Linked DNA regions of Struthio camelus. Each later gene encodes a partner of the first gene's protein in a complex. Links are inferred from orthologs where the notes say so. Each region holds a gene or a part of one and is shown on either strand. Other genes may lie near its edges.

Region 1 (7,959 bases):
CAGAACATACAGTTGTCTGCCTTTTTTTTATGATTCTGAAGAGGACCCAATCTCGTAAAATGTCTACATTTTGTCATTTTAATTCAAACTTTCTTCCAGCGCTAAGATATTTGTAACCAGCACATAATGTTTTGTCTGTCTTCCAAAAACTTTGGTTTTGTCTGGCTAACAATAAGCAAGCAGGGATGATCCCGCAAAGGGCAGTGATCCAATTAAGCTTACTGAACAGAATTACAGGTTAAAATGGCACACTTAACAGCATTGTTCAGTTTTCTTTATGCACCCCTTACAAACCTGTGTAAAATATAAAATGCTGTCATTTTTACTTGGTAAAAATAGATTTAGATTTAGGATAGGTTTGTCATCTATTCTGACCAAATGGAAGGAATCAGACAAGCTGCTAACAATGAAAAGTCAATGTTAGTATATGGTTTGTTTACTTGTGAATTCTACCGCATTTTGAAATAAAGATCTTCCTGCAATGCCATTCCCAGTGTATCACTGTAGTAATTTATTTAATATACTACAAATGTGATAAGTGCTACACTTCAAAAGATGTAAGTCCACTTTTCTCAAACTAGGAAATAAAAGGATTGGAAGGAAATGAGAGGTGGTCTTCCTCTACCAGCTAAATCCTGCAGAAATTATGATATTAACTTACACCTTGTTTCTAGAAACAAGATCTGAGCATCTGTGGCTCCTAATGGCATTACCTATCCTCAGAGCAGCATCCGTGTTACAGAGCAGTGCCAATTAGATTTATAACTTGCAAATAACAAAGGTACAAAAGGTAATAGGGCTCCAAGCGTACCTACCACATGATACAGCTGTAGACTCAAACCTCACTTGCTACTTTCTGAGTGCAAAGAAGTGGCTCTAAAGTACTTAATTAAAAGGTTATATGAGTGTGTTATGTTCTATTACAAGCTGTTGAATTAGTTCTATATTTCTGTACAGAATGTAGTAGAGGAATTTAGAAAAAAACATATTCCTTTTTATTCCCTGCAACTAGCTTTTTAACTGAAGAAATGCTATGTTGTCCCAGTTTTCAATATTAATTCTAGGTGTCTTGGGAACGCTTTTAATTTTTTTTCTGTTTTAGCAGAACAGGCTAGCAGCACAGCTTTTCAAATTGACGGTAATTATGGTCTTTATTGTGTTCTTGGTGATACCTCCAAATGGAATGGGATGTTGTTTAGGAAGATTGAATTTGCTCTCATAGGGGTTTTTAAGTGGGTTGTCTAACTGTACTAGACTTTAAAATGTATGTTTATGCCTCTTCTAGGCTTGTTTTGGCTGTTGGGATTCTTTAACAGCAGTCATGCTGGGAAATGCAGTTCCTCAGGAAGAGCTGAAAATTGAGGGCATGTGACCACCTTTGAGAATTATTATAAAGAACAAGCTGTGCTGTGGATGAGAGCCGATATGGTATCTGGGGGTAAATGTAGTCTGCTAGGATATAGACATGATTTAAGAGAACCTGTGCCCTATGTTCTCCACTGTTCTGTTTTGCTGAAGGTTAAAAAGGTAAGCTAGTTTTTTGTTACTTTAACTGGACTTTTATACCTCTTTTGTAATAATAAAGTGGATCCCAAGGAAAAGAACATAGGCTAACCTGTAATCTGAATTGTATGTTCCTTTTCTATTGCCAGTGCATCTGCTTACAGGCCTCAGCACTTCTGTTTTCATTTCCATATCCACTGTTTGCTTTGAAACCTTCCCCTGTCCTCTGTCAAGTCTTTTCTCAATGCAGTTCCTTTCTTGTTGAAGAGATTTTTTCACTTGCTTGCCATGAGTACCCACTGATGTTTTGGGGGAGGACATTAATACCGTAGAGAGTAGATTATTGTCCAAGCAAACTAATTTAGTTTCGGTTTGTAGAGATTTCTAATCCTAGAAGGGTAAACATACTACAGAGGGCATGAGATGGGGAAAGTCATGGTAGCAGAGCTGCAAGGGCAGGAGAGCTACTAATACAAATTGTTAACAGTGCCCTTGGCTAACTTCAGAGAAAACAATTCAGTATTCATTTCTCTTAAGAATATATGCCTTAGCTCTGCTGTTACTCATTCTTTCAGCATGTTTTTATGATGAACAAAGTGATCAGAAGAAAATGGTAGCTAAATTCATTAAGGTTTTATTAATTCCACCTCATGCGCTGATTTTTTTTTCCCCCACGGGTTGGGGCAAGTCCTGTCTTTGTCTCTGTGGTTCTTTGTGTGCTTAATAGGGCTAGTGATGCTGGCCCGAGGCAAGGGAATCCCTAACGCAAGAGAAATGTACAAGAAGGTAAAAGTGCCAAGTCCTAAGTATTGTTGGGATTTTTCATGTCCAGTAGGGAATGTGATTTTCCTTTATAAAAAGCTGAGAATTGATCCATGGCACAAAATAGACGATGCCTTTGTAAAGCATTTAGAAGTAGCAGCACTTGGAGCTAGACTTTCAACAACTTTCAGCTATTCATACTTAGTCAGAGAGAGCCCCAAAGTATTAAATCTGAAGTACCTCTATCTGCTCTAAACTATTTTTGAAGTTTATGAGAGACACTTTCCCTAAACTCCCTGTCATAGCATAGCACAAGCTTCAGTCACCTTGAGCTCAGTTTCTACCTCCCTTATTTTGTATTGGACCTGATCTGCAACAGTTTAATCTCTTAAAATGGCATCCTATAACAAATTGTCTCAACAGTCTTAAGTGCCACTCTTCCTCTTTTATTAGGAGATGAGAGCAAGGCATGGTGCATGTTTGGCCCTGACAGGTACCTTAAACAGCAGGGCCCGTCCCATGTGGTTGGCTTGGTCGACTGCTGCTTCCCTTTTTCCCTTCACCTTTTGATCAGATGAAGGGAGAGGGGACCACAGAGGTTCATTCACTGCCCTCTCTACTCAGCATTTCTGTGCCCTATTGCAGCTTTTACAAAGATTTGTTGTTAAGGAAGGTTTTTCACAGAACAGTATAGAACAAGGGATTTGTACTGCTCATCTGTAAATATGAAACCTTAGATATTCCTGTTAGTATTGTATAGTTCTAAGGTCAGAGACCCTGAGGGTCATCTAGAAGGTCTAGACCATACAGGTCTTGATTCCAGAAGCCAGATGAAAGTTAGGGTTCCTATATGATGAAAATGCCAACACAGACTGTTAATTCCACAGCCTGGATATTCCTACATGATACAATCAACACAAGGAACCAGAGAAAATATCTTTCAGCAAGGATGTGCTTGCCATAGGTACCAAGGTTGTCTTTTAGCCATTTATGGTGGTCCTCAAACCTGATCATTCAGCTATGATGTTAGCAGCAGTTGTAAGAAACGGAGCTGTATCAGAGGTTCTCTGGTACGTTATCGACCTGGGAGAGCAGAAAAGTCAGTTCAGCCACAGGCATTATTATCTTTTTAGGGACTGCTCTGAAACGGTACGATAGATCCGGGACTCACAGGGCAGGCCAAGAGTGGTGGGGACGGGACCTGCTTCGCCGTGCGCGGGGCAGGAGGGCCGTCAGCATGCGCATGAGGCCTCCAGAGGCGCCTGGGCCACCCTCCAGGTCTATATCAGGATTGTACCTAATAGTAAATTACAGCAGATGCGCCGGCTCACACATGCCTAGAGTAACAGTTGGCATCGATATTTGGCTACCTTTTTCACAACATCTCTCTCTCTCTCTTTTTTTTTTTTAACAAGCATTTCCATTTTTTTTTGCAGAAGTGTCCACAGCAGGCGAGTCCATATGCCAATGGCTGGCTAAAACCAGCCGACAGGCGTCTCCCCCTCGCCCGGACCCCGGCCACCGCCGCTTCAGCCTGGACTCTGCCCCGATCCCCTCCTTGCTCATTCGGAGCCTTTTCCAGAAGGAGCGACTGCCTGGCCTTCACCACCACGTTTTTAGGGACCTTTTCCAGAAGGGACCAAGTGCCTGGGCTTCACCACGTTTTTAGGGACCTTCTCCAGAAGGGACTGACTGCTCGGCCTTCACCACCGTGTTTTTAGGGACCTTCTCCACAAGGGACCGACTGTCTGGCCTTCACCACCACATTTTTAGGGACCTTTTCCAGAAGGGACCGAGTGCCTGGCCTTCACCACCACGTTTTTAGGGACCTTTTCCAGAAGGGACTGAGTGCCTGGCCTTCACCACCACGTTTTTAGGGACCTTTTCCAGAAGGGACTGAGTGCCTGGCCTTCACCACCACGTTTTTAGGGACCTTTTCCAGAAGGGACTGAGTGTCCGGCCTTCACCACCGTGTTTTTAGGGACCATCTCCAGAAGGGAGCGACTGCCTGGCCTTCACCACCACGTTTTTAGGGACCTTTTCCAGAAGGGACTGACTGCTCGGGCTTCACCACCGTGTTTTTAGGGACCATCTCCAGAAGGGAGCGACTGCCTGGCCTTCACCACCGCGTTTTTAGGGACCATCTCCAGAAGGGAGCGACTGCCTGGCCTTCACCACCGCGTTTTTAGGGACCTTTTCCAGAAGGGAGTGACTGCCTGGCCTTCACCACCACTTTTTTAGGGACCTTTTCCAGAAGGGACCGAGTGCCTGGGCTTCACCACGTTTTTAGGGACCTTCTCCAGAAGGGACTGAGTGCCTGGCCTTCACCACTGTGTTTTTAGAGACCTTCTCCAGAAGGGACCGACTGCCCCGACTTCTCCACCACGTTTTTAGGTGTGGTGAGAAGAAGGGAGCGTCCTACGCGGTCAGTACTGGGGGCGGGGAGGAGCCGCCTGGTTAGGAGGCGCCTCTCGTGTCGCGGCTGTGCGTGGGCAGAGGCGGGAGGGCGGGAGCCGCCTCGAGCAGGACAGCAGCGCGGCAGGGCCACCCCCGCCCCGCCTGAGGCGGCCGCAACCGCCGCCCCTCCACTCCGCCCCGCCCCGCCCCGCGCGCGGCGGCGGCCCCGCCCCCCGCGCGCCACCGCCGCCCCGCCCCGCCCCCCCGGCGGGAGAGGGGGAGGGCCGTCGGGGCCGCGCACGGGGACGGCCCGGGCGCCATGTTGGAGGGTTGCTGAGCCCCGCGTCTGTCTGTCTGTCTGTGTGTGTGTCTGTGTGTGCGCGGCGGCCGGAGCCCGTGTGCTGCGCGGGCTGGGGAGGGGGGGGGCGCGGGGGGACGCCCGGGCGGATCATGGACGTCGAGCGGCTGCAGGAGGCTCTGAAAGGTGGCGCCGGGCGGGGGAAAGCGGCGGTGGCGGGGGGGGGGGGGGAGCTGTGTCCCCTCACGCTGAGGCGGGCGCGGGGGGGGGTCTCTGTGGGGGCGGTGGGGGAGGGGGAAGCCGAGGCCTGGCCCCAGCGCCCCGACAGCCACCGGGGGGGTTGGGGGGGGGTGGCGGCCGCCGGTCCCTCCGCTCCGGCCCCGGGCCGTCCTCGCCGCTGCCCCCGGGCCGGGGCCGGGGTCGGGGCCGGCCTGCGCTGCCGCTTCCCTCGGCCAGGCGCACGGACTCCCCCCCCGGCCCGGTCCTGTGGCAGCTCGTCTGGCTGGACGCAGCCTGAGGAAATCGGCCTCTCTCGCTCTCTCTTTCTCTCTCTCTCCACCCTCCCCCCCCCCGGTAGCTGCTCAAAAGAAGTTACAAATCAACTTTTTGCCCCTGGGATGTGTGTAGTTTTCTTCACACGAGAAGTATCAAGTGTTTTGCAGGGTTGGAGGGCTGGGGGAGCTCTTGGGAACAAACTGAGGAAGTGTGGAAATGTCTTTTTTTGGGGGGGTGGGGGGAAGGGGGGAGCTGTGCGGATAGTTGAAGCAAATCGATGCCTAATTGTTACGAATTTTTGTCCTGTCCTCTCTTCTTTTCCTATTGCTTTCGTGTTCTTCCTCGTACCAACAGATTTTGAGAAGAGAGGAAAGAAGGAAGTGTGTCCAATACTGGATCAGTTTCTTTGTCATGTTGCTAAGACCGGAGAGACCATGTAAGTGTGTGACTTCTTGGTTGATCTTCAGTTGTAGCTTATAAAGTTTCCCACGTTTTAAGTGAATGAGATGATACCTTTTTTTTTTTTTTTTTTTTGGATCTGTAGAATGATTCCATGAGCTAAATAAGCTTGCTGTAGTTCTCAGTGTAACTTTGAATGATTAGTTTCATTTGAGGATAGAATTAGTTTTTTTCTAACAGAGAGCACAGATAGCTTTTTTTTTTTGTATAGACTTTGCTCAGGCTTATCTCTCAGGTTTTATTGATGCTGCTCCATACAGTAAACCTGTTGCTTTTTCTGCGTTTTACGTGACATTCAGGTTTTTTAAACTGAAAGTTTAGCGCGTTGTTGCAATGTCCGTTGTACGCAGTAGTATTGTTTACACAGGGATACGAATGGTTCAGATCAAATTTTCCAGGCTTTGTGTAACTTGCTGTGCGATGATTGCGTCTAGATGCTTTCCAGGAGGAGGGGAGAACCACCCAGGAGCTCTCTGCAGAGAGGCGCAGGGGCAAACTTGTTACCCTGCCTTTCAGTGGTCTCTCGTGTTTTTTCAGCTGGCCCCAAAGTGCTTCTGTTTCACTTTTCCTGGGCTTCCTTTTGTGGAGGGCCAGTGGGATTTGGGCCCGCGGGCGCTGTGGGGAGCGGGGTTACCGCGCTCCTTGTCAAGGATGAGGCCGGTGCTGCTGGGGGTGACTTCCTGCTTGAGCACTATTTGGCAGGAAGGGGAAAGGCTTCCATGGGTGCCATGCTGCAGGTGGCTCACTTTCTGGCACTCAGGCTGTCTCCTTGTTTTTGAGGCCTAGCGCCAGACTACACAGGCTTTAGCGATACATGCTTTTACCGGTGCTTTATTAGCAACTAGTGATTTGCAGGGGCTTTGTTCTGATTTCTAGAATCCCTCTCACTCGTAAGAGGTGTCTTTACCTTTTTCTTTTTTTTTTTTAATAGCTTGCTAGTACTATTTAAATTAATAGTTTTGAAAGAAAAACAAGTTCTGAAATGTACTTTGCCCTTTGAATGGAAGGCTTTGGCTCAGCAGAAAAATATACAGCTGTAATGCTTAATATTCTAGAATAACACTCATTTTAGTATGGGCCTAAGGTAGTGGTTTTGTTTGTGTAGTGTGTTTAAAATATTCTTCCTGTTCTGAAATGTTTCTTAAGGCTTTTTTTTCTTGTTTATGCCACTGTTACATATATTCCAAAGCAATTTTTAAAAGCAATTGTATAGGGGTGATTTCTTAAGAAAATTCTTCCTGAGGTAAAACTTGAGAGTATAGTTATTATATGTTCTGAATTTAAAAAAAAAAAAATCTAGATTTTCCAAATGTAAACAAGAACAAGAGTTTATTTGATTATTGCAAACTATTGCTTAATCCGGAACTCAAATCTATCATCTGGAACTTCATGCAGGCCCTGGCCTTGTATGTATTCAGGGTTTTTTTTTTTTTTTTTTAAAGCTCTATAGCTTTTTTCAACATTCTTGGACCTTGCAGTTGCACTAAATTGTTTTTTTAAAAGTGTCAGACACACTTCAGACATCCGAAGTATCCAATATCATCTGGAGACAGACATGGAAATACTGCTCAGTACCACTTTATTTGCTTCCCGTTATCCATCAGAGTCTATATTTCTTCATCTGATATAGTGATATTTTCATTAATATGTTATATATAAAAATATCAGGAGGAAATTGATAGCAAAATGTCCTGGTGGGCATTCATAACAGGGAATATGTATTTATAAGAATTTAATGTATGTTTTTAGAATACAGGCTAGACTACTGTAACACTGATATTTTAAAAGTGTACCTGAGTACACAAACTTGTCAGATGCGTGTTGATTCACACTGAGCTAAACGTTCTTTATTTCCTTTCATGTAAAAAAACCTTTTACTTAAAAGAAATCCAGAACAGTAAGACATAGATTTCATCCTCTAGTTCCAAGACAATCCAAAATAATAGTTTGCAGTGACATTTATTAGTATTTTTATGAATTTCAGGTTTCAGTTTGAAAAACTGGATGGTTAAGTCAGGAGTAATTACACAAATGGTTTGCAGACT
Region 2 (7,531 bases), on another chromosome or scaffold:
AACAGTATGGGTTGAAAGAAAATAGATGACCTTTCTGTTGAAGGGATTCATACGCACACTACGTAGGAGGAAGAGTCACAGAACTTTAACTGCTGACACAAGTTCAGGTTTGTGGTTCAGGTATAAAAACAGGGCTACTGTTTCTAGGGGGATCTGTGGCAGGATGTGAAAACTGAGCAACAGCATCTGAGACATGATTCATAGGGTATGTGTGCAAAACTGTGCATACAGCAGGAATTTGAGATGCTGAAGTGAGCCAACCCTCGATCTGCAAAATATACAGTCATTAAGGGGAATCCTTTCTGCCCCATTTCAGTTTCTCAAAATCTTTAAACAATGACACCAGAGTTATAAAAACATTGCATTAAAGCTATAGTCCTGATGTTGAATTCTTCCACAGCTTGCTGGCTTACAATGCACCCAAAAGGTATTAGCCCTTTTAGACTCATGTAAGAAGTTAGTATTGAATTGCTTGTTCGCTATGCAGCCCAGCCTCTTCCAGAGGTGCTTTAACTTTTATAGGTGTTGTCTTGTATTGTGCTATATCTCAATGGTCCCACTCAAGAGGTCTAAGTTAGAGCACGACCAGGACATCCCCAGCTGCCCACCCTGCCTTCTTCTCTGGATGTCAGAGCTGCTTATCCATCAGCTCCTCAATCAACCCAGTTTACAGCTCAAAGTTTAAGGAAAAGCGTCACTGTTTGCCTTAAAAACGCTGTCACAATTTGGGAGGTGCTTCGTGAGCTCACAGACATTTGTACAGCCAGAATAGGCCAGAAGCAGCTGCCAGTAACCTTCGCAGCTGTCCCAGGCTAAGCCATCCCTTCTCGTCAGTCAGGGCTTTCAGTAAGTGAACCAAGCTGTTCCTGACCACTCTGTCCTCAGCAATATTTATAACTCTTCCAGTCTCTCTCTGCCATACACAATTTTCATTCAGAGATTTTATATTAACTTTCTAATTATTACTACAAATCCTAAACAGCATCAGTCCCACTCTTGATTTCTGCACGATTATCTGGAGTCACCTCCACTGAATAATGGTTCTGAGCTATGCCTGTCTCTCAGCATCTGACCCATGTGGCGTGGGCTTTCTTGATAGCATACAATGCCGACTTTCCAGAAAAATACCTGAGAACTATCCAAGTATATTATATCTGCACCATTACTCTTACAAGCAACTTTGTAATCTAACAAGAGATTAAACAATTTTGAAAGTCTTTTTTCCATAAAGCCACATCAGCTGCTATCGCTATGTTCTAATCTTATAATTCTTACCGATACTGTGTATCGGTATTTATTGTTGGTCTGTGATTGTTGTCAGATAAATCAGTCCATTATTATCTATCTGTTCCAACATGTCCTATTTGAATTCTTACAAAGTGTCATGTCTTGCAGAATTTCTGCAATACTTGCAGCTTCTTAAAAAATTAGCATGTTTTCATACCTCACATATGCAAACTTCTTTAGGACTCCCAAATTCCAATTTTTTAGGACTTGCATATTTTCAAATGTTTATCTCTAAGATAAGTTATTTAGTGTGCTTCTTAGTAATGAACAGGGAGGCACTTAGTCATCTTCATATGATATAAATACATCAAAATTCTTTCCAAGTATAGAAAAAAATGTTAAACAGTTCTACTTTTTGTATCAATATCAAAAATTTTTTAGTTGTGATATCATAGGCCTGGGATACCGTTAAGATTTGGAAAACTTGAGCTGTTCCTAAAACTACCAGCCATACATATTCTGATGTCCTCATCCATTTTTCTATGCTTTCTAGCTTTATTGCGCAGATTGCTAGAATTGTCATTTTTCTACTTGTTGTTTATGTTTATTTCTAACTGTTGTGTTCACCTCCCCATTGAACTAGAAATGTATTTTTCTGAATTTGCTGTCTGAGTTATGTCCCGCTTAATTTCTTCTGGACAGACACCCCCTACTTTGCTACAATTTTTCTATATAATGTTTCTTCTCAGTCACTCATTTTCCACAGTTTTTTGGATATAAGCCCTCTAGACAGCCAGTTCTCTGTGCTCTATTTAGTATGGATTTTAACCTTGTTTTCACATACAGAATGTAACCATATCAAACTCAGGCAAGCAGAGACTTTGATTTTAATAATTTTTTCATCTTTATCATAATAAAGTCTGAAGTTGTTAATTTCTCTAATATGATTTTTTTTTGTCAGAAAATCATTAGCTATGTTTTTAGGAGCTCTAATCATGCTTTAGTGCATACCTTCAAGATATATGTCTGCAATGGAGTTCCTCCTAACAATGTAATTTTCTTTCCCAAAGCTGTGAGCAGATATTGAAGGAAAAAAGTCATCTTCCTTAGTTCTGACTGCTGTGCAGGAGGCCCTCAGTAGTAAACCCCTTCTAGGCTTTATTCATTAGTATATTGATCCATATGCATTTATATATCTAAGGATATGAAAGGTTTAAAACTGTGTTCAATACTCCATTTCCTTATTTATTACTCAGTTCCAGGTGGGCCAAAACTACTGCCAGGACAAGGTGCTGGGTTATTTACAGGAACTAAGTGAGCCTAAGCTTTTGGTTCAGTTAAGGATGACCTCTCAATATCAGGAGAATCCCTGAAGATATTTCCTTTGGGACACACAATACTTCATACCTCTGGAAATGGAGAAGGAATTGAGATGTCACGTGGCAAATTTTGTCTTCTAAATCATGACTCTGAGAAAAATAAACTGAGTGTTTTCTTCTTTGGCATCTGCTTTCCATCATGGGAGGATGCCGTCAATGCCCAGCCTTTCTTCTGGCATCACTGCGGTGGAAAGTTTCGAAAAAAATGACATCCCCCACCAAATACAATGAGAATTGAGATAAAACCTGACAGCGGGCATACTGTAGGACTGAGCATTGTTCAGATTGATATTAAGATAATACAAAGAAAATTAAGAAAAGCTGAACCCCAAATGTGCACAAAGCTAACTTTCTATGCCAACTAAAATCTGATTGAGCTTTTTTTGAATTCACCAAAAAAAATAAAAAACCAAAAGAATAGTCTATTGTTAATCCCACGGCCACCAGAGGGTACAATTTGTAAATGAGTGCAGCTGTCCCACAGAGGTTTCTGTAGGTGACGTTGGCCTGTTTTGAAGTCACAAAAATCCATCTCCAGAATTGCCCAAGATAAACGCGTGAGCAGCACCTCCCCAGGTATGGCCACCCGGGGGCTTCCTCGGTCACCAAGACGGGGGCGCTGAGCGCCTTTTTGTGCCCGTGCTGCTGGAGGGCCTCCCTTCAACAGGGCCCATAACCTACGGTTCTCAGAAAACCAAGTCCTTCCAAGCCAGTAATTATATCAGCCCCAACATAACTCACTTTCATAAACAAATATGGAATACTTTGAAAAATAAGCCAATCTAAGTATATAAATTGCAGTGAGCTCCCATGTACGTAGCATGTCCAGACCATGTTCTGAAATGGACTCGCTTGCGTGGCGATATGTCTGTGGGCTCCAAAAGGCACTAGTGGTTTTTGCCTGTGGTTTTTTTTTTTGTTATTTAATATTGATCCATCCTTAAAAGGGGAATCTGTCAAACATATGTTCAGATGTTGGCAGCAGCGGCAAAAGCAGAGGCTCAACAGCTTCGGCTTGTTACTGCAATTGTTAGAGGTCGCGCAGACCCAAGAGCCGCTCGACCAGAAGCCGTTTAACTTTTGGATCACTCAGCAGGGGGCGACGGGGGGAAAAAAAACAACCAAAAAAAGATCCGATTCCCCCCCCCGCCCCATGAAACCACTCTTTGGCAAGAGGACGGCTCCAGACGCGCGCAACAAAACAGCCGCGACAACCCCACGGTCTGCTCCCCCTGGCGGCACCCCCGCCCGGCCTCACGGCGCCCACGGCCGCGCGGGGCCACGTGTGTGCTGCCCGGCAGGGACGGCAGAGGCAGCGTGCTGCGTGACGGGGGCTGCGCGGTGCCAGGCGGCGAGGCGTGGGCGCTGCGGCCACGCGTGGGCGCGGAAGGAAGCGCGGGGCCGGCGCCGGACCCCGGCCGCAGCGGGGCGGCTGGCCCTTTAAGCGCTGGCGGGCGGCCCGTGCCGCCGCTGGCTGGGAGACCCCGCGCCTCCAGTGAGAGGTGAAACCAAGATGGCGGCCGCGCAGTGACTGAGGCGGAGACAGAGGCGGTGGGAGCCGGGCTGGACGGGCCGCGCCACGCCGCCGCCGCTCGCCCCTTCGGCTGGGCAGAGCTCCCGCCTGCCGGCTGCGCCGCTGAGTGCCTGGAGTGCGGCCACGCCGCAGGGCGCGCTGAGGAGCCGCGAGTGAGCCGCCGCCGCCGCAGCACCGGCAGGAGGAGGAGGAGGAGGAGGAGGAAGAAGAATATGGCGGCGGAGTCGGGCTGGGAGTGATCCGCCGCCCGCGACGGGAGCCCATGGGGGAGACGGGGCGCTGAGCCCGGCCGCGCGCTCCGCCCCGCCGCGGGACAGGCGGTGCCCGCCGGCCCCACGCGAGCCCCGCCGGGGAAGGAGGGCGGTTCCTGGGAGCCCCGCGCTGACGGACGGCGAGCCAGGGGCTTCGGGCCTGGGCAGCTGCCGCACAATAGAGCCGCGCTCGGGCCGGGGCGAGCGGCCCCGCTCCCGCCTGCCTCCCGCCGCCTGCTTGCTCCTGCCGGCCGCGCCGAGCCCGTCGCCAGGGCCCCGGCCTGCCGGGTCGCCCGCTCCTGTCAGCCCGGGCCGGTCGGTCGGCCGGCCGCCGCCGCCCGTGCCTTCGGCTGGCCCCTCCAGCCCTGTGGAGCCGCTTCTCCTCCGGGACCCCTTCCTGGCCGCCGCTTCTGCCTGCCCTTCGCCCCGCAAGGAGCCTCTCCGCGGCTCTCCCCAGCTTAGGCTTGGTCGCCTCTTGTGCAGCACCTAACTGTCCCTGGAACAGCTCGCCTTTCACCGCCTCGGCCCCCCTTCCTGCCCCCCCCCCCCCAATCCTCTGTTACTGCCGATAATGAAGATCGTGTTGGAGCACTGAAGAGGACTAAGAAGAGCTCTCCTGGCGTGCCCGTGTGGGGCTGCTACCCTCCTTCCCGCTCCCCTCCTTTGAGGGGGGCCGAGCCCCCCGCCAACCTCCCGCTTCTTCAGGTCTTGCAAGCCAGGGTGGTGGCAGTGGTGTGGCAGGCGGCAGGATGACTGACACCCGGCGGAGGGTGAAGGTGTACACGCTAAATGAAGACCGCCAGTGGGACGATCGAGGCACAGGGCATGTGTCCTCTTGCTACGTGGAGAGGCTGAAGGGCATGTCCCTGCTAGTCAGGGCAGAGAGTGATGGTAAGTGTGTATATGTGAAGCTGTTAGAGCCTTTCCTCGTCCTACTCCAAAAAGGAGTAGGAGTTGGCTTTATATGTATGTCTCTTGCCTTAACGTTTTGCTGCATAATTCGAATGTAATTCCTGAAAGCAAGTAGGCATCAGCCATAGTTCATTCTTGTTAGGCCAAGTGAAAGGAATGGACGATTGCCATCAAGTGCAAACATTGTAGTAGGCACTTGGTTCGTAGTGAATACAGTACTGCATGCCAAATACAATGAAGTCTAATTGCAAGTCTTGTGCAAGATTGGGTATCTGATGATACCTAGTCTACTCCAGACCCAAAACTGATCATTGTGAATGCTTCCTTGGATGTTTCTGGAAGCAACCCCCTCATGAAGGGAGTTGCTTAAAACTTAGACCATACTTTTGGAGGGATTTAAAAAAAAAAAAGTCATTGGATGATTAGATGGCTAACATCCTTTATTTTTCTTTCTTTTTTCACCCTGTTTTCTTTGGTAGTAAGATTTTACAGGGCACTAGCAGCTAACAATAATTATCAATGTGCAGTTGTAGTAGTAAAGACAACACAATGGACAGAATAGCATTTTCAGAGATGCTTTATTTTTTTTCTTGAAATAGTATTTTTCAATCCTTCAGCAGTTTTAGATCTGCCTGTAAATAAACTTAAGATGATGCATAATCCTTCACGATTTTTGGCAAAACCTACTACAGTTTAAGTGGTAGTAATATTTACCCCTGTAGCTACATGTTTGGACTAGTCTTGGTTATTGGATGAGTGATTTCCTGACTGCTGCGGTCCGAACAGATTTTAAACAGCGTATCTTGCAATACCTCGTGTGTACTATTTTGCTAGTAAAGTCTGTCAATGCGTGACTGACTTTTTCATTAAATATATAGCCACTCTATCTAGTGACTTAAAGATCTAGTTGTGACTTGTGCCTGGCAATAGGCGTTTTATTTTTATTATTGTTATTTTATCTGGCCTTTTCATTATAGAAACTTGGATGAGAGGCAGCTCCAGAATCATCTCATGTCTGAGAAAGTTCTGACAAACTGTACAGCAGTCTCTACAATAAAGAGATAATACGCAGATATGGAGGAGTCAAATTTGCATCTGAGCAGGATTTTGATCATTAAGTTTCTGATAAGCATGAATCTCAGATTTTTGTAGTTTATTAATTATTCTTTAAAGTCTTGTGTTTAAGACAAGATGTCTTTAAGACTTGTTTGTCTTCAAGACTTGTTTTTTAGTTTTCTTTTACTAAAGAAGCTATGGTCTTTATTTTGGTTTGACCAGCTTCCTAGTGTATGACAAAACATTCAAAATGGAAGTAGACTTAGTTTAGTTTCGACATGAGTGAGGGAGGTTAAAAGAGAAGGAAGGTCATCACTCAACTTTTAAACTAATCCTGTGTTCCAGTATATTTTACTGTAGATATAGTCCTTGCTGTCTACATGGCTGCTGTACTCAGGAGACTCTCTTAGCTAATGTTTAAATACTGTCATGTCCTGTTTTTATACTCTAATGATTAAAGTTTCTGATTTTTTTTTCCTTTTCTTAACAGAAGAAAGCAAAAGTACTGCAGTTGGTAACTTGATTTCAAGTAATTGTCCATTCAAACTAAAATACCATTTTAGCAACTTTAGGTGGGATATGTATGTTTAAAACTGATTTGTACCTGAGTTCAACTGCTGTTGCCAGCTTACTTATTGTAAATGAACTTCTGTAAAAAGGAAAATATAAACTGGTGTGAGTGATCTCAGAGGAAATGTGGAGTCATTACTTTCAGTGCTACACAGTTCAGACACTAAAATAGTTAAAGAAGGAGTTGTTCAAACTTATGCTTCTGTGCATTAGCTGCAGTTATTTAATACACACATTGGACTTTTCTCAAACAGCATATACTTTAACAGTATTGAATAATATACAGAGCTAAAGTTCTTAATTTAGTAGGTAGGATCAGTCCTGGTCAAATGTGCAGTCTATTAATAGGCTTAGTTTTTCTAGCTTGCTTGCGCAAACACCTCCTAAAATTTGATTTATATTTTGTTTACCCTGGTAATTGGTTTGTAAGCTAATTTTGAAGGCAGATGCAGTCACTTATAAATGCAGGCAAATGATTTGAAAAAAGGTGATGCCAGACTTATGTTTTAGATACTATGAAATTTGTTGTATTCCATAGCTCTTGTTTTTCTCCTAACTAGAAAAATCATGGTCAACCACTTCATTTATCAAAAACATAGCAG
Region 3 (7,864 bases), on another chromosome or scaffold:
CAGTGTAGTTTGCAGATGAGATGTTTTTATTGTTGCTGCTTGATACCCAGTCAATTAAAAAACACAAAGATTTACTGAAAATCTATGCCAGCCAGTCTATCTCATCTCAGTCTTTTCTTATAATTCATACTATCTTACATTTACATAATTTCTAAGTTATACCACTTGGACTACAGGTATGCCCACGCTTCCTTTTCCTTGCTTGTCCTTACTATAGCTTAGCACATCTAATAGCAAGACCACAGCTGGCAGAACTGCACACGCATAAAAGCTGCCTGCACTTCCAGTGTCCTCACAAGTACATTCTACTACTTCCGGAATACGTCTCAAAACCAGTTTCTAACTCCAATGCTGAAAACAGTAGCTTTCAAACGTACAACAGAGAGGTACTGTAGGCTGGGGTTTCAGGCCTGGGAAAGCCAGGCAAAAATTGCAGCGTTTGTCGTTTTTTTTGAAACTGCCTATTTCACATGTGCAAACATGAAATGTAATCCTAAATAATGCATCAACTGGGAAAGCTTTCATAAATTGCATAAGACCTGTTGTACATAGATACAAAGCATGACTATTTCAAAGAAGTGTAAGAAATAACGCTATCGACTACATACATACAGTCTCTTCAGTCTGTGTTATTTTTCTTTAGCTCATGTCCACCTCTCGAAAACAAAATCACATAAAATTCAAAACTGTAGAAGACATCAGGTGTGACCAAATTATGTCCAGACAGCACATGCTGTTTCATGCAGATTCCTGCTTTCTCTAAAAATAATACACTTAAGTAATGAGCTATTCACTTTTATCTACTTCCATCAGAACCTCACTAATTTTTTATGAGGCTTCAAATTTTTAGATTTCTATGGCTGCTGCCTTCAAAATGCTCTCATCTGAACTGAGTCATATCTCCATGCATATATAATTTCTTCCTTTTTAAAGGCAAGACTGCAACATTCAAGCCACCTCCAGGAACCCAAGGATTACAAATCATCTCTCTAAAGACTATAATCATTTCTTACTTCAACTACTGTCTTACAGTCAAGAAAAAAAAAAATCACAGTCTAAGTGGAAATTAAAAAAAGACATACATTCTTAAAAGTGTGACACTTTTCTAAAAGTCCTCACCTAATCACAAAGTTTTCAAACAGCTACACTACCAATCTGATTTTCAAGCAATCAGAACTGGGTGGCGAGGGGGAGGAGAGTCTTACAAAAAGGCTCTCTCTTTGTGCAAGGCAATACACAACATAAAAAGAAATAGAACAAATTTTAATCAGTTCACAAAACAGAAGACAACTAAGATGTTTCCAGTTAACTTCTGGAAAGTGTAAATAACATTCCCAGAAGCATTTAAGCCAAGAAAGCTTTTACTGCTGCAATCTAGTCCTTGTGAAGGCTGCACAGTAGACAAAGTACCTTCAGACAGTGACAAGGGTCTGCAAACCTACAGCAGACCGCATAGCCGAAGCCTATGCTATGAATCACCTCAAGAAGAGCTGACGCCTCCATTTTCACTTTCTATATAAAATTCATCTGGCTTCCAAGTTCTTTTAACACTGACACTACCCATATACGTCCTTCTCACCTGCATTCACGTTGCACAGCCCTCACTTTCAACCTTCATACCTCTGAACTAGCACTTTGAACGGGAATCATGTACTGCAACTTGCCCCCCCCCCCGACGTAACACTTTCCCAAACATCGATTCTCCTTCTCCCCATCAGTTGCAAGAAGAAGGGGGCTGAGTGGGGGGGGGGGACACCAAAACAAAACAAACTCCACAGGCCTCAGGCTCGAGAGCACCCACCCGGCTCATTCCTCCTGAGAAGCTCCCCACGCAATTCAGGAGCGATGACCGCCCCCTCCCCACCCGCTCCCCCCCTTCCCCGCCTTAACGGCTGCCGCGCGAGGGACGCGGCCCTCGCGCGACGACCGTTAACGGCAGCTCCCCGGCGCGCCCGCCCAACGCAGCGCGTTTCCCTGCGGCCGCGTTAGCCCGCTTACAGCAGCCCCTCACTCCAGCCTGCCCCGCTCCGCAAGCCCCCACCGCCGCCGCCGCCAGGAAAAGCCCTGCTCAGCCCGGCCTTGCCCCCCGCACGCCCGGCTGGATTTTATGTACATAAGGAAGCGCGGAGCATGGCCTCCTCCTCCTCCTCCCACAATGCACCGTGGGCATTCACATTTGAAGCTACTTCCTCAACCGCAAAAAAGCCCCCGGCCCGTGGCCGCCCCAGCGCCCCCCGGCCCCACTCACAGCCGTCTATCTCCTCCTGCAGGTCCTCCTGGAGCAGCGACAGATCTGCGGGAGACACACAATGTGCCAACGCGCCCCGGCGCATTTCACCGCCGCCGCCCCCCGCGTGTCCCCACGCCCCCACTCACCCACCCACCCACGGGGCCCCGCCGCCCGCACGCGCCGGGGCCGCGCTTTGCACCCGCGCAGCCCGCCCGCCGCGCCCCCCCCTCCACCAGGGGAGGGGACCCCCACGCACGCACCTTACCGGCGCGCCCACGCGCGAGCCCGCCCCGCGGACCCCCTCCCCCGCCCCACCTTCGCATGCCAACCCCACCCCGGCGGCTCCCCACGCACGGACGGAGACACGGGGAGGGGGCGCCGCTGCGGGAAGCGCTTCCTAAACCGGGGCGGGGGAGAAGGAGGAGGGGAGAGGAGGGGGGAGGAGGGCTCTGGTGCCTCGCTAGGGAGGCGGCGTGTGTGGAAAGGGGGAGGATGGAAGGGGGGGGTGCTACCTACCCGCCATTTTGCTGTAGCCCCCACGGGGTGCCGGGCTACATTGAACCCGCTGCGGAGCGGCGAAGCGGGGCGGCGGCGGCGGGGGGGGGGGGCAGGCCCGGCGCGGCGGCGGCGGCGGCGGCGGCGGCGGCAGCGGCGGCGGCAGCGTCTCCCAGTGTCCCCGAGAGAGCGGCGCAAGGAGCGGGCGGGCGCAGGAAGGCGGGAGGAGGGGTCTGGGCTGGACACGCTGCCCCCGCCTCCGCCCGGCGGAGCCGCGCTCGCACCCGGCCTCGCCTCGCCTCGCCTCGCCTCCCCGCCCCTCGCACTGACTCACGCCCGGAGCCGCCCAGCCCTGCCCGCGGGCGCCGCGGCCGGGGCACAGCGGGGGGCCACCGCCTCCCGGCCGCCCCGCTCACCTGGCCGCGCCGCTGGCCCCAGCCCCGCCGCTGGCGGACCCCCCCCCCCCAGCCGCCCGCTCTGCCGGGGCCTGAGCCCGCTTGGCACTGACGCCGCTTCCCCTTGGCCCGGCCGGCTCCTTCCTAGCGTCTTCCCCCTCCCCTCCCACCCCCCGCCGCCTCTCAAAAGGCTCCGGCTCCCCCGCTCCGCACCGCCTGGCGTTGGTGCTGCCCCGGCTGCTGGCGGTGAAGCCAGGCGGCCCTGCCCTCGCCCGAGGGGTCCCCACTTCGGGCTTCGTGGGGTCACCCCGGCGAGAAGGGTCGCTGCGAAGCGGGCAGGCCGCAAAAGTCTGCGCCTTTGGGCTTTGTGGGGTCACCTGCCAGGTGTCCCGGCCACGAAAGTCCTCCCGCGAGCTTTTTAGTGCCACCCTGCAGAGAAGGGTCCCCACGAGGCGGCCGGGTCACAAAAGTCCCGGCTTTGGGGCTTTGTGAGGTCACCCTGCAGAGAACCGTCACCGCAAAGCGGCCGGGCCACCACCCGGACACCTCGGCCGGCTTAGCCAGCCGGCAACCTCCTGCCTGGCGCGTAACTCGCGTGGAGGCACCTCTACAGTTCGGCTGGTGAACCGGCCCTCCGAAACCGGGGGTGTTTTTGTCATTAATTGTACTTATTTTGATAGATTTTTCCACTGTAAATTGGAAGATTATAGAAGCTGGATAAAACAAATGCTCTAATTTGCAGCTACCCGTAGCACTTGCTAAAGAAAAGGACCGTTACCGAAACTGATGCTAACTGGGAGTCTTGAGTGTTCCACCATCTTTTTGTTATCTCTGTAATCATCTTTGGTGTTGTTAAGATATAGAATAGCAAAACAAGTTTTTTTTTGTCCATTTTATTCAGAAGGGATGCAATTTTAGTAGATCAATTTTTAACTCAACAGGGTTGACGTCATGTCTTGTAAGTAGTTTTTTAATACCGAACCATTGTTTTCATTTTATTTTGTGAATCACTTAAGGATTTAATCCCTATAGTAATTCCTTCTTTTTGCCATAGTGGCTGAAAATGTATAATCTTTCTTGAAACTGCACACATCCTTTTCCTTCCATTCCTGTAAGAACAAACTGCTTTCTTTCACAGCTGTTCAAACCTTAGAGAAATCACTAGGGCCCACTGGATGCAGATTATCCAGCATTTCTTTCATTCAAATATATAACCTTAAAAACTGAGTAAATCAAGTAAATTCACCATGACTACATGATATGGACCATGCTATTCTCTACCAGTGTAATTTAAGAGAAGACTCGGTAGAAATATTTGACATCACAAATAGCTGGCGATGCTGGATATGATAGCAATAGGCCTAGAACACAAAAATAAAGCATACTCAAAGAACAACTTTTTATTAGCTCCATTACTGTACATTACTTCCAGGAAGGTTTCTTTCTTCTCCACGTTACAGTCTTCACCATAATCAAGGCCTGGTTTTCTTCTTCTGAAGTCAGTAGCAATTGCCTAAAATGTATGCACTTGCTGTTCTTGAAGGAACCAAGGTTTTCCGTTCCTTTTTCCTACTCGTTACAAACAGGTAGTAATGCATACTAAATATAGATTACTATGGTCTGAGAGCATCAAAACTACCTTGACCATTTATGTAATAGAACAGGGTAAAATGATGAATGCAAGAGAGCATACTTGACATAATTTAACACCAATTTTGGGGTCTTCCTATGTGAATGGGGTATTCCTAAGTGGTGGTTAGTTCTTTGTTTGTAGGTGGGAATATGGATAGGGTCAGGGTGATTTACAAGACAAATTATAACTGCTCAGGAATTGCTTTTTTGTTTCTCCTACAAGTGAACTAGTAGACTGTTTTCCTCAGATGAAACTGGTCCTAGTACCATTGTTAGTAGTCAGCAGGAAAGGTCTCTTCCTATGCAAATAAAAATACTGAGGCAAAAACTTTGGCTCATACCGTGACACATACGTGGAGAAAAATCCCTTTTTTGGCTTCATGCCACCACACAAAACCAAATCCCACATAATGAATAAGTAACTAGATAGCCCTACTTCTAAACTTCCTGGCTTAAGGAGACCATAAATTCTATACCTTGATCTCCCCAGACACTATTTAAGGGCCTAACCTAAAGTTCAGGTTAATTGTCAGATTCCTACTGGTCACAAACAAGGCAAATAGAAACCTTCTAAGTATATTCTAAGAATACGCACTGATTCTCTCAGATAGTGTGATGAGCCGACTTTCATAAAATAATGTATCTAATTCTGAAAGAAAAATTTCATAAGAAACTTCTCATTTTATTAGCTGAAGCGTGTTAAGGATACTTTTGCACCTACCAAAATATTCTAGCCCATTTTGTGCTGGTGTTCTAATAATCTGTTTGACTACCCTTAAAGGCATTGGAAAATAAGAAATTTAAGGCATAGATAAACTCAAGTTTGAACGCTATATCCCAAGAAAAATACGCTCAAAGGATGGACGCCAAGGCTATGAATGAGAAGATACAAATGGAAGACACTGTGGCAAGAGTCTTCACGTGTGATAGAAGACATCTTTATTGCTATATATACGTGACTTATCTCAGAAAAGCCCATAGCAATTAACAAGATCCTTATAGTATTTATATAAAGTACTTCATAAATCTTTTCAAAACTACAAAAATGACCAAGTTAAACACAAGATACCTCATATCCACCTGAGTGTATTTGCAAAAAGTTATTCTGAAGTTGGGTTACTGACATTTCTTCAGTCAAAACTGCTGCAGGCATAAAGGCCTCAGGCTCGAGAACACTGCAGGCCCAAGAACTCACACGTGAAAATATCTTATTTGCTCTCCTTTGCTGTGAAGAAGTAAGTCTCCTTGTTTGATCAGAAAACAATGCCAGGCTTTCAATGACCGCAAGTTAACCCGCTTTGCGTTTCTCCCAGGCTTCCCTTCCTGTGTGGGAAGTCCTTCCCATAAATATCTGCAAAGCCATCTTGCTACCTTCCTTCAGATTCCTCCTCAAAAACTCTCTTTTCCTGTAAAGCCTACAAAAAACTTTTTTCAGGGTTAGACTTCTGGTGCACTGAGACAACTGCTCATCCTCTTGAGTAATACTGACTCATAGTTTTCTTGCCCTCCCCCGGGATTCTGTCTGCATACATCTGTTGTCTCTTGCTTTACGGTAAAACAATGAGTTGTCTACTTTATAGACCATCTTTTTGTTCTTTTTGTAGTGTCTAGCTCAAACTGGCCCATGACTGAAGCTCACAAGCATTAGACTATATATACCCACATAAACAAATGAGTACCTATAATACAAATGGACATATGTAAAAACCTGGAGGCTGAAGCCTGAAACATGTTAATTTTGCATTTGAAAATACATCATCTATTGGAGCATTTATGCTAAAAAGGGCTGTACATTGTAAAGCCTTCTCTTCCCTTCCCTTTCCTATTACCTGTTGTGCTTTTCTCTCCCCCAGTAAAAAATACCTGAGTTCTTTTTTTTTTTTTGACTCATCACTCGTGGATGACAAATTTTTTGATTGTGCACCACAGTTTTATTTAATTTCCCCATTTTCCTGAGTAAGAGCCTGAGCTGGTGATTATTTGTGAATATCAGAATGCAGCTGTCACTGCTCCAAGTGCAGGCCTCGCAGAAAGATTGTAAACAATATACATATTAGTAATTTTGCTGACTGCACGTGAATAGTTGTACCTGTTCAGGACTCTGCTGAGATACAGGATTTGATGGATCTAGGAGGCTTTTTGGTATGACAGCCATGAATGAATTAGTCTAAATTTGCTGACAAAGAACTTTGCTAACGTAAAGTTAAGTTTGCCTCGTGGGTATCTCATGTCATTGCAGGAAGTCAAGTTCAGTGATAATTAAACTTCTGAAAACTAGCACGTACAAAACTGAGGCACCTACTAATGCAACCTTAAGGCTGCACTGGGAGCTTGCAATGGCTACTGGCATTTATTTGTAGGCAAACCTATTGCATCAGTGGCATGAGATGGTAGCGGAGTTGTGTGTGGTCAAAAGAAAGAGAGGCGTGTTTATTACGAGGGAGCCCACAAGCCTCCTTTTGCTGCAGACACCATCAGTGGTAAATCCCCAGCTCCTTTGGCTGAGGGCACTGCTTGAGTGGGTCCTGTGAGGTATATGGTGGGCAACTTGAAAGTCTGCCTCTATATCTGATCTTGTAGGTGCGCAAGTGAAAGAGGACAAAGAATTAATGTACATGAAGTTGTTTCAGGGATCTGTGTCTCAGCGTTTGGGTGCAGCATACTCAACGGAAATGCACACACGCACACACACAGGGAATGCTCTTGCAGTACCACTCACCTGAACGCAGGTTTTCCTTTAACAGAGCTGTGCTACAGCCGTCAGCTGCTCTGTGTCAGGAATGATGTGTGTGGTCCTGCGTACGTATTGCATGGGAAGACTGAATCACTGCTCAAACAGGACAGAATTCAGGGTGGGCTGATGTGCCGTAGCTCTGGATTTCCTGGTTCTCGGAAGTCTATGTCCCACTGACATACTGGAAGAAAACGTGACAGGGCGACCACAAACTGAGAACCTTTTCCATGCTGAAATGCCTCTTGCAGATTTTGTTTTTAAATAGAGAGAAAAAGAAACAATGTCTGAACTTCGACTATTTCAAGAAATTACAGCCACCACATAGGTATGCACCTGGAACATTATTGTAGCTAGTCACTGGTATCCTCCCCTTTCATC
Region 4 (7,653 bases), on another chromosome or scaffold:
GGTCCTGGTGGGATGTGGGGACATTGGGACGGGGGTCCTGGTGGGATGTGGTGACGTGGGACGTGGTGACGTGGGGATGGAGGTCCTGGTGGGACGTGGGGACGGGGGTCCTGGTGGGACGTGGTGACGTGGGGACGGGGGTCGTGGTGGGACGTGGGGACGGAGGTCCTGGTGGGAGGTGGGGACGGGGGTGCTGGTGGGACGTGGGGACATTGGGACAGGGGTCGTGGTGGGGCATGAGGACATGGGGACGGGGGTGCTGGTGGAACGTGAGGACGTGGGTGCTGGTGGGACATGGTGACATGGGGATGTGCGTCGTGGTGGGACGTGAGGACATGGGGATGTGGATTGTGGTGGGACGTGGGGACGGGGGTGCTGGTGGGACGTGGGGACGGGGGTGCTGGTGGGACGTGGGGACATGGAGATGGAGGTCCTGGTGGGACGTGGGGACGTGGGGATGGGGGTCGTGGTGGGACGTGGGGACATGGAGATGGAGGTCCTGGTGGGACGTGGTGACGTGGTGACGGGGGTCATGGTGGGACATGAGGACGTGGAGACGGAGGTCCTGGTGGGACGTGGGGACGGGGGTCGTGGTGGGACATGAGGACGTGGAGATGGAGGTCCTGGTGGGAGGTGGGGACGGGGGTCATGGTGGGACATGAGGACGTGGAGATGGAGGTCCTGGTGGGAGGTGGGGACGGGGGTCGTGGTGGGACATGAGGACGTGGAGATGGAGGTCCTGGTGGGAGGTGGGGACGTGGAGATGGAGGTCCTGGTGGGATGTGGGGACGTGGTGACGGGGGTCGTGGTGGGACATGAGGACGTGGAGATGAAGGTCCTGGTGGGACGTGGGGACGTGGAGATGGAGGTCCTGGTGGGACGTGGTGACGTGGTGATGGGGGTTGTGGTGGGACATGAGAACATGGAGATGGAGGTCCTGGTGGGAGGTGGTGACGGGGGTCGTGGTGGGACATGAGGACATGGAGATGGAGGTCCTGGTGGGACGTGGGGACGTGGAGATGGAGGTCCTGGTGGGACGTGGTGACGGGGGTCATGGTGGGACATGAGGACGTGGAGACGGAGGTCCTGGTGGGACGGGGGGACGGGGGTCGTGGTGGGACATGAGGACGTGGAGATGGAGGTCCTGGTGGGACGTGGGGACGGGGGTCGTGGTGGGACACGAGGACGTGGAGATGGAGGTCCTGGTGGGACGTGGGGACGGGGGTTGTGGTGGGACGTGGGGGCATGGAGATGAAGGTCCTGGTGGGACATAAGGACATGGGGACGTGGGTCGTGGTGGGACATGGGGACATGGGGACGTGGTGACGGGGGTCGTGGTGGGACATGAGGACGTGGAGATGAAGGTCCTGGTGGGACATGAGAACATGGGGACGTGGGTCGTGGTGGGACATGGGGATGTGGGTCCTGGTGGGACATGGGGACATGGGGACGGGGGTCGTGGTGGGACACGAGGACGTGGAGATGGAGGTCCTGGTGGGACGTGGTGATGTGGTGATGGGGGTTGTGGTGGGACATGAGAACGTGGAGATGGAGGTCCTGGTGGGACGTGGTGACGTGGTGATGGGGGTTGTGGTGGGACGTGAGGACGTGGAGATGGAGGTCCTGGTGGGACGTGGTGACGTGGTGATGGGGGTTGTGGTGGGACATGAGAACGTGGAGATGGAGGTCCTGGTGGGACGTGGTGACATGGGGACGGGGGTCCTGGTGGGACGGGGGGACGGGGGGAGCGCGGGCGTCCGCGGCGTGACGCGCGGCTCCCTGCGCCCGCAGGCCAACTCGCTGGCGTGCCAGGGCAAGTACGCGCCCAGCGGGCCGGCGGGGGCCGCCGCCAGCGAGTCCCTCTTCATCTCCAACCACGCCTACTGAGGGGCCCCGGCGTCCGGGGCCGCCCCGCCCCCCCCCCGCCGCCGCCGCCTCTCCCGCTCCGGCAATAAACGGCATCTGCCTCCGCACCCGCGTCTTGGGGGGCCCGGGCGGCCGGGGGAGGGGACCCAGGTGTCCGGGGAGGGGCCCAGGTGTCCGGGGAGGGGCCCAGGTGTCCGGGAGGGGCCCAGGTGTCCCGGAGGGAACCAAGCGTCTGTAATGGGCCCAGGTGTCCGGGGAGCGGCCCAGGCGTCCTGGAGGGACCCAGGTGTCCAGGAAGGGGCCCAGGCGTCCTGGAGGGACCCAGGTGTCCAGGGAGGGGGCCCAGGAGTCCAGGGAGGGGCCCAGGCATCCGGGGAGGGACCCAGGTGTCCAGGGAGGGGCCCTGGCGTCCGGGAGGGAACCAAGTGTCTGTAATGGGCCCAGCTGTCCGGGGAGGGACCCAGCTGTCCGGGGAGGGACCCAGGCGTCTGAGAGGGGCCCAGGCATCCGGGAAGGGCCCAGGTGTCCTGGAAGGACCCAGGCGTCTGGGGAGGGGGCCCAGGAGTCCAGGGAAGGGCAGAGATGTCCGGAGAGGGGCCCAGGCGTCCCGGAGGGAACCAAGCGTCTGTAATGGGCCCAGGCATCTGGGAGGGACCCAGGTGTCCGGGGGAGGGGCCCAGGCGTCTGGGAGGGGCCCAGGCGTCCTGGAGGGACCCAGGTGTCCAGGAAGGGGCCCAGGCGTCCTGGAGGGACCCAGGCGTCCTGGAGGGACCCAGGAGTCCAGGGAGGGGCCCAGGCATCCGGGGAGGGACCCAGGTGTCCAGGGAGGGGCCCTGGCGTCCCGGAGGGAACCAAGTGTCTGTAATGGGCCCAGGTGTCCGGGGGGACCCAGGTGTCCGGGGAGGGGCCCAGGTGTCCGGGGAGGGGCCCAGGCGTCTGAGAGGGGCCCAGGCGTCCGGGAAGGGCCCAGGTGTCCGGGGGAGGGGGCCCAGGCGTCCGGGGACGGGGGCCCAAGCGTCCGGGAAGGACCAGGGCATCCGGGGAGGGCCCAGGTGTCCGGGAGGGCCCAGGCGTCCGGGGAGGAGGCCCAGGAGTCTGGGAAGGACCAGGGCATCCGGGAAGGGGCCCAGGTGTCCCGGAGGGAAGCAAGCGTCTGTAATGGGCCCAGGTGTCCGGGGAAGGGGCCCAGGTGTCCGGGGAGGGGCCCAGGTGTCCGGGAGGGGCCCAGGTGTCCGGGAGGGAACCAAGCGTCTGTAATGGGCCCAGGTGTCCGGGGAGCGGCCCAGGCGTCCTGGAGGGACCCAGGTGTCCAGGAAGGGGCCCAGGCGTCCTGGAGGGACCCAGGTGTCCAGGGAGGGGGCCCAGGAGTCCAGGGAGGGGCCCAGGCATCCGGGGAGGGACCCAGGCATCCGGGGAGGGGCCCTGGCGTCCCGGAGGGAACCAAGTGTCTGTAATGGGCCCAGGTGTCCGGGGAGGGACCCAGCTGTCCGGGGAGGGGCCCAGGGGTCCGGGGAGGGGCCCAGGCATCCGGGGAGGGACCCAGGCGTCTGAGAGGGGCCCAGGCATCCGGGAAGGGCCCAGGTGTCCTGGAAGGACCCAGGCGTCTGGGGAGGGGGCCCAGGAGTCCGGGGAAGGGCAGAGATGTCCGGAGAGGGGCCCAGGCGTCCCAGAGGGAACCAAGCGTCTGTAATGGGCCCAGGTGTCCGGGGAGGGACCCAGGTGTCCGGGGAGGGGCCCAGGCGTCTGGGGAAGGGCCCAGGGAAGGGCCGAGGTGTCTGGGGAGGGACCTAGGTGTCTGGGAGGGGCCCTGGCATCCGGGAGGGACCCAGGCGGCTGGGAGGGCCCAGGCATCCGGGGAGGGGTCCAGGTGTCTGGGAGGGGCCCAGGCGTCCGGGAGGGGCCCAGGTGTCCGGGCAGGAAGGGGCCCAGGAGTCCAGGAGGGCCCAGGTGTTCGGGAGGGCCTAGGTGTCCAGGAAGGGGCCCAGGCGTCCGGGGAGGGACCGAGGTGTCTGGGGAGGGCCCAGGCATCCGGGGAGGGGCCCAGGCGTCCGGGAAGGACCCAGGTGTCCTGACAAGGACCCAGGAGTCCGGGGAGGGGCCCAGGTGTCCGGGAGGGGCCCAGGCGTCCGGGGGGACCCAGGTGTCCGGGGAGGGACCCAGGCATCTGGGGAGGGACCCAGGAGTTCGGGAGGGGCCCAGGCATCCGGGAGGGGCCCAGGAGTCCAGGGAAGGACCCAGGCATCTGGGAGGGACCCAGGTGTCTGGGAGGGGCCCAGGTGTCCAGGAGGGGCCCAGGCGTCCGGGAGGGGCCCAGGCATCCAGGGAGGGGCCCAGGCATCCAGGGAGGGGCCCAGGAGTCCAGGGAAGGACCCAGGTGTCCGGGAGGGGCCCAGGCATCTGGGAGGGACCCAGGTGTCCGGGAGGGGCCCAGGCATCTGGGAGGGACCCAGGCGTCCGGGGAGGGGCCCAGGCGTCCGGGGAGGGGCCCAGGAGTCCGGGAGGGGCCCAGGAGTCCGGGGAAGGACCCAGGTGTCCGGGAAGGACCCAGGAGTCCGGGAGGGACCCAGGAGTCCGGGGAAGGACCCAGGCGTCCGGGGAGGGGCCCAGGCGTCCGGGGAGGGGCCCAGGCGTCCGGGGAGGGGCCCAGGTGTCCTGGAGGGCCCAGGCGCCCTGGGGAAGGGCCCAGGCGTCCGGGGAGCCCCCGGCGAGCTCTCCCCGCCCACTGGCTCGCGCCCCGTGACGTCACGCCCTGCGGGGCGGCCCTCCCGCACGTCACTTCCGTCCCGCCGGTGGGCGGGGCCGGGGCCGGAAGTGACGCGCGGCGGCGGCGGCGGCCGGGTGCGACCCGCGGCGGGTTCGGGGGTCGCCGGGGGGGTTCGGGGGGGGCCGGTTGGGGGCCGGTTGGTTTTTGGGGGCGGCTGGGGGGTTCTAGGGGCGGTGTGGGGGGGTTGGGGGGGTAGTTGGGGTGTTGCGGGGGCGGTTTGGGGGGGGTTGGGGGCAGGTTGGGGGGTTTTGGGGGTGTTTTGGGGGTGTTTGGGGGCAGTTTGGGGGTTTTGGGGGTGTTTGGGGGCAGTTGGGGGGTAGTTGGGGTGTTGCGGGGGCGGTTTGGGGGGTTTTGGGTACAGGTGGAGGGGGTTGGGGGCGGTTTGGGGGTGTTTGGGGGCAGGTTGGGGGGTTTCGGGGGTGTTTGGGGGCAGTTGGGGGTTTGGGGGCAGTTTGGGGGGTAGTTGGGGGTAGTTGGGGTGTTGGGGCAGTTTGAGGGGGTTGGGGGCGGTTTCGGGGTGTTTGGGGACAGGTTGGGTGTTTTGGGGCAGTTCGGGGGTAGTTGGGGTGTTGGGGCGGTTAGGGGGGTTGTTTGGGGGCAGGTTGGGGGGTTTCGGGGGTGTTTGGGGGCAGTTTGGGGGTAGTTGGGGTGTTGCGGGGGCGGTTTGGGGGGTTTTGGGTACAGGTGGAGGGGGTTGGGGGCGGTTTGGGGGTGTTTGGGGGCAGGTTGGGGGGTTTTGGGGGTGTTTGGGGGCAGTTGGGGGGTTTTGGGGGTGTTTGGGTGCAGTTGGGGGTTTGGGGGCAGTTTGGGGGGCAGCTGGGGGTAGTTGGGGTGTTGTGGGGGCAGTTTGAGGGGGTTGGGGGTGGTTTCGGGGTGTTTGGGGACAGGTTGGGTGTTTTGGGGCAGTTCGGGGGTAGTTGGGGTGTTGGGGCGGTTTGGGGGGTTGTTTGGGGGCAGGTTGGGGGGTTTTGGGGGTCTTTGGGGGTAGTTGGGGTATTGGGGCAGTTTGAGGGGTTTTGGGGACAGTTTGAGGGGGTTGGGGGTGTTTGGGGGCAGGTTGGGGGTTTTGGGGGGCAGTTGGGGGTAGTTGGGGTGTTGTGGGGGTAGTTTGAGGGGGTTGGGAGCGGTTTGGGGACAGTTTGGAGGTTTTGGGGGTCTTTGGGGGCAGTTTGGGGGTAGTTGGGGTGTTGTGGGGGCAGTTTGAGGGGGTTAGGAGCAGTTTGGGGGTGTTTGGGGACAGGTTGGGGGTTTGGGGGTCTTTTGGGACAGTTTGGGGGCAGTTTGGGTTTTGGGGACAGTTTGAGGGGTTTGGGGGCAGGTTTGGGGTAGTTGGGGTGTTGTGGGGGCAGTTTGGGGGGTTTGGGGACAGTTTGGGGGGTGTTTGGGGGTGGTTTTGGGGGTCTTTGGGGGCAGTTGGGGTTTTGGGGCAGTTTGGGGGAGTTTGGGACATTTTGGAGGGTCTTTGGGGGCAGTTTGGGGGGCAGTTTGGGGGTAGATGGGGTGTTGGGACGGTTTGGGGGGGTTGGGGGTGGTTTTGGGGGTGTTGGAGGGTCTTTGGGGGTAGTTTGGAGGGTTTGGGGGCAGTTTGGGGGTAGTTGGGGTGTTGTGGGGGCAGTTTGGGGGCTTTGGTGACAGTTTGAGGGGGTGGGAGCAGTTTGGGGGGTGTTTGGGGGCGGTTTTGGGGGTCTTTGGAGGCGGTTGAGGTTTTGGGGCAGTTTGGGGGTTTTGGGACAGTTTGGGGGGGTTTGGAGGCTGTTGGCGTAGGTGACAGTTTGGGGGCAGTTTGGGGACAGCTGGGGGGATATTTGGGGGCAGTTTGAGGGATTTTGGGGGCCACTTGCGGTTTGGGGGCAGTTTGGGGCAGTTTGAGGGGTTTCGGGGGGCGGTTTGAGGGGTTTGGGGAGACTTGAAGGGATTCAGGGGCTGTTGGGGGAGTTTGGGGGAGCCGGAGGGATTTCGGGGGCAGTTGGGAGGGTTTTGGCTCCGTTGGCGAGGGGGGTGGGCAGGTTTGGGGGGGACGTTTTGGATTTGGGGGGCAATTGAGGGGATTTAGGGGACAGTTGGGGGGAGTTGGGGGGGCAATGGGGGCCCGTTGGGATGTTTTGCAGAGCGCTGGCGCGATTTGGGGTCAGGCTGGGGGTTTTTTTTGGGAGCGGTGGGGGGGGGTCACTTTGGGGGTCTTTAGGGGCACTTGGGGATTTTTGGGTCACTTTGGGGGTCGTCGGGGGGTCGGGGGGGCCGTTGGGGCCTTGGGGGGGGCATTTGGGGGTCGTCGGGGGGTTGGGGGGGCCGTTGGGGCCTTGGGGGGGCATTTGGGGGTCGTCGGGGGGTTGGGGGGGCCGTTGGGGCCTGGGGGGGCATTTGGGGGGTGCAAGCGGAGTTGGGGGGGTCTGGGGGCAATTGAAGGCAACGGAGGGGCAGTTCAGGGGGGGCTGGGGGGGGCTTTTGGGGGGGTGGAGGGCAACTGAGGGGTCCGGGGAGCGATTAGGGGCTCGGGGGGGGTAATTAGGGGCTGTTGGGGGCACTTGGGGGTGTCGGGGGCAGTTAGGGGCTTGAGGGGGGGCTGTTAGGGGCATTTGGGGGGCAATTGGGGGTGCTGGGGGGCAGTTAGGGCATTGGGGGGGCTATTGAGCAGGTAGGGAGTCGGGGGGCAATTAGGGGTGGGGGGCAACGAGGAGGGGGGCTGTGGTGTCCGGGGGGGGCAATTAGGGGTTGTGGGGGGGGTTAATTAGCCCTGATGGGGGGGGCAATTACCGTCCCCCCCCCAAGTGGCCATTTCACGTCACCTGGGATTGACGAGCCAGCACCGATGGGGGGGGGACGAGCCTAGCTGCCGTTGGGGAAAAGGGGGCAAAATTAAGTCATGGGGGTAATTAGGGGGGGCTAATTAACAGTTAATTAGGGGGGCAGGGCCATGGGGGAGCCGAGCGACCTGGACCGGCAGATCGAGCAGCTGCGGCGCTGCGAGCTCATCAAGGAGAGCGAGGTGAAGGCCCTCTGCGCCAAGGCCAGGTACCCCGGGG

What was found.
Region 2: PPP4R2 (region 1) and PPP4R3A share a complex: the UniProt entries of both Homo sapiens proteins name them as parts of the PP4 complex. The link is inferred for Struthio camelus from reciprocal best matches to the Homo sapiens genes PPP4R2 and PPP4R3A.
Region 3: PPP4R2 (region 1) and PPP4R1 share a complex: the UniProt entries of both Homo sapiens proteins name them as parts of the PP4 complex. The link is inferred for Struthio camelus from reciprocal best matches to the Homo sapiens genes PPP4R2 and PPP4R1.
Region 4: PPP4R2 (region 1) and PPP4C share a complex: the UniProt entries of both Homo sapiens proteins name them as parts of the PP4 complex. The link is inferred for Struthio camelus from reciprocal best matches to the Homo sapiens genes PPP4R2 and PPP4C.

The regions. Positions count from the first base shown.
Region 1 is NC_090955.1:5,358,760-5,366,718, reverse strand, and holds the start of PPP4R2 (serine/threonine-protein phosphatase 4 regulatory subunit 2), read left to right. Parts: upstream 1-4,946; 5' UTR 4,947-5,112; coding exon 5,113-5,146; intron 5,147-5,809; coding exon 5,810-5,891; intron 5,892-7,959. UniProt on the Homo sapiens protein: Regulatory subunit of serine/threonine-protein phosphatase 4 (PP4). May regulate the activity of PPP4C at centrosomal microtubule organizing centers.
Region 2 is NC_090946.1:65,507,882-65,515,412, reverse strand, and holds the start of PPP4R3A (serine/threonine-protein phosphatase 4 regulatory subunit 3A), read left to right. Parts: upstream 1-4,518; 5' UTR 4,519-5,140; coding exon 5,141-5,282; intron 5,283-7,531. UniProt on the Homo sapiens protein: Regulatory subunit of serine/threonine-protein phosphatase 4. May regulate the activity of PPP4C at centrosomal microtubule organizing centers.
Region 3 is NC_090943.1:116,180,156-116,188,019, reverse strand, and holds the start of PPP4R1 (serine/threonine-protein phosphatase 4 regulatory subunit 1), read right to left. Parts: upstream 3,006-7,864; 5' UTR 2,754-3,005; coding exon 2,747-2,753; intron 2,646-2,746; exon of another isoform or gene 2,554-2,645; coding exon of another isoform or gene 2,546-2,553; intron 2,294-2,545; coding exon 2,249-2,293; intron 2,176-2,248; exon of another isoform or gene 2,133-2,175; coding exon of another isoform or gene 2,114-2,132; exon of another isoform or gene 1,999-2,113; intron 1-1,998. UniProt on the Homo sapiens protein: Regulatory subunit of serine/threonine-protein phosphatase 4. May play a role in regulation of cell division in renal glomeruli. The PPP4C-PPP4R1 PP4 complex may play a role in dephosphorylation and regulation of HDAC3.
Region 4 is NC_090973.1:990,408-998,060, forward strand, and holds the start of PPP4C (serine/threonine-protein phosphatase 4 catalytic subunit), read left to right. Parts: upstream 1-4,651; 5' UTR 4,652-4,704; intron 4,705-7,532; exon of another isoform or gene 7,533-7,540; 5' UTR 7,541-7,544; coding exon 7,545-7,642; intron 7,643-7,653. Other genes in the region: ALDOA (fructose-bisphosphate aldolase A), read left to right, coding at 1,792-1,887. UniProt on the Homo sapiens protein: Protein phosphatase that is involved in many processes such as microtubule organization at centrosomes, maturation of spliceosomal snRNPs, apoptosis, DNA repair, tumor necrosis factor (TNF)-alpha signaling, activation of c-Jun N-terminal kinase MAPK8, regulation of histone acetylation, DNA damage checkpoint signaling, NF-kappa-B activation and cell migration.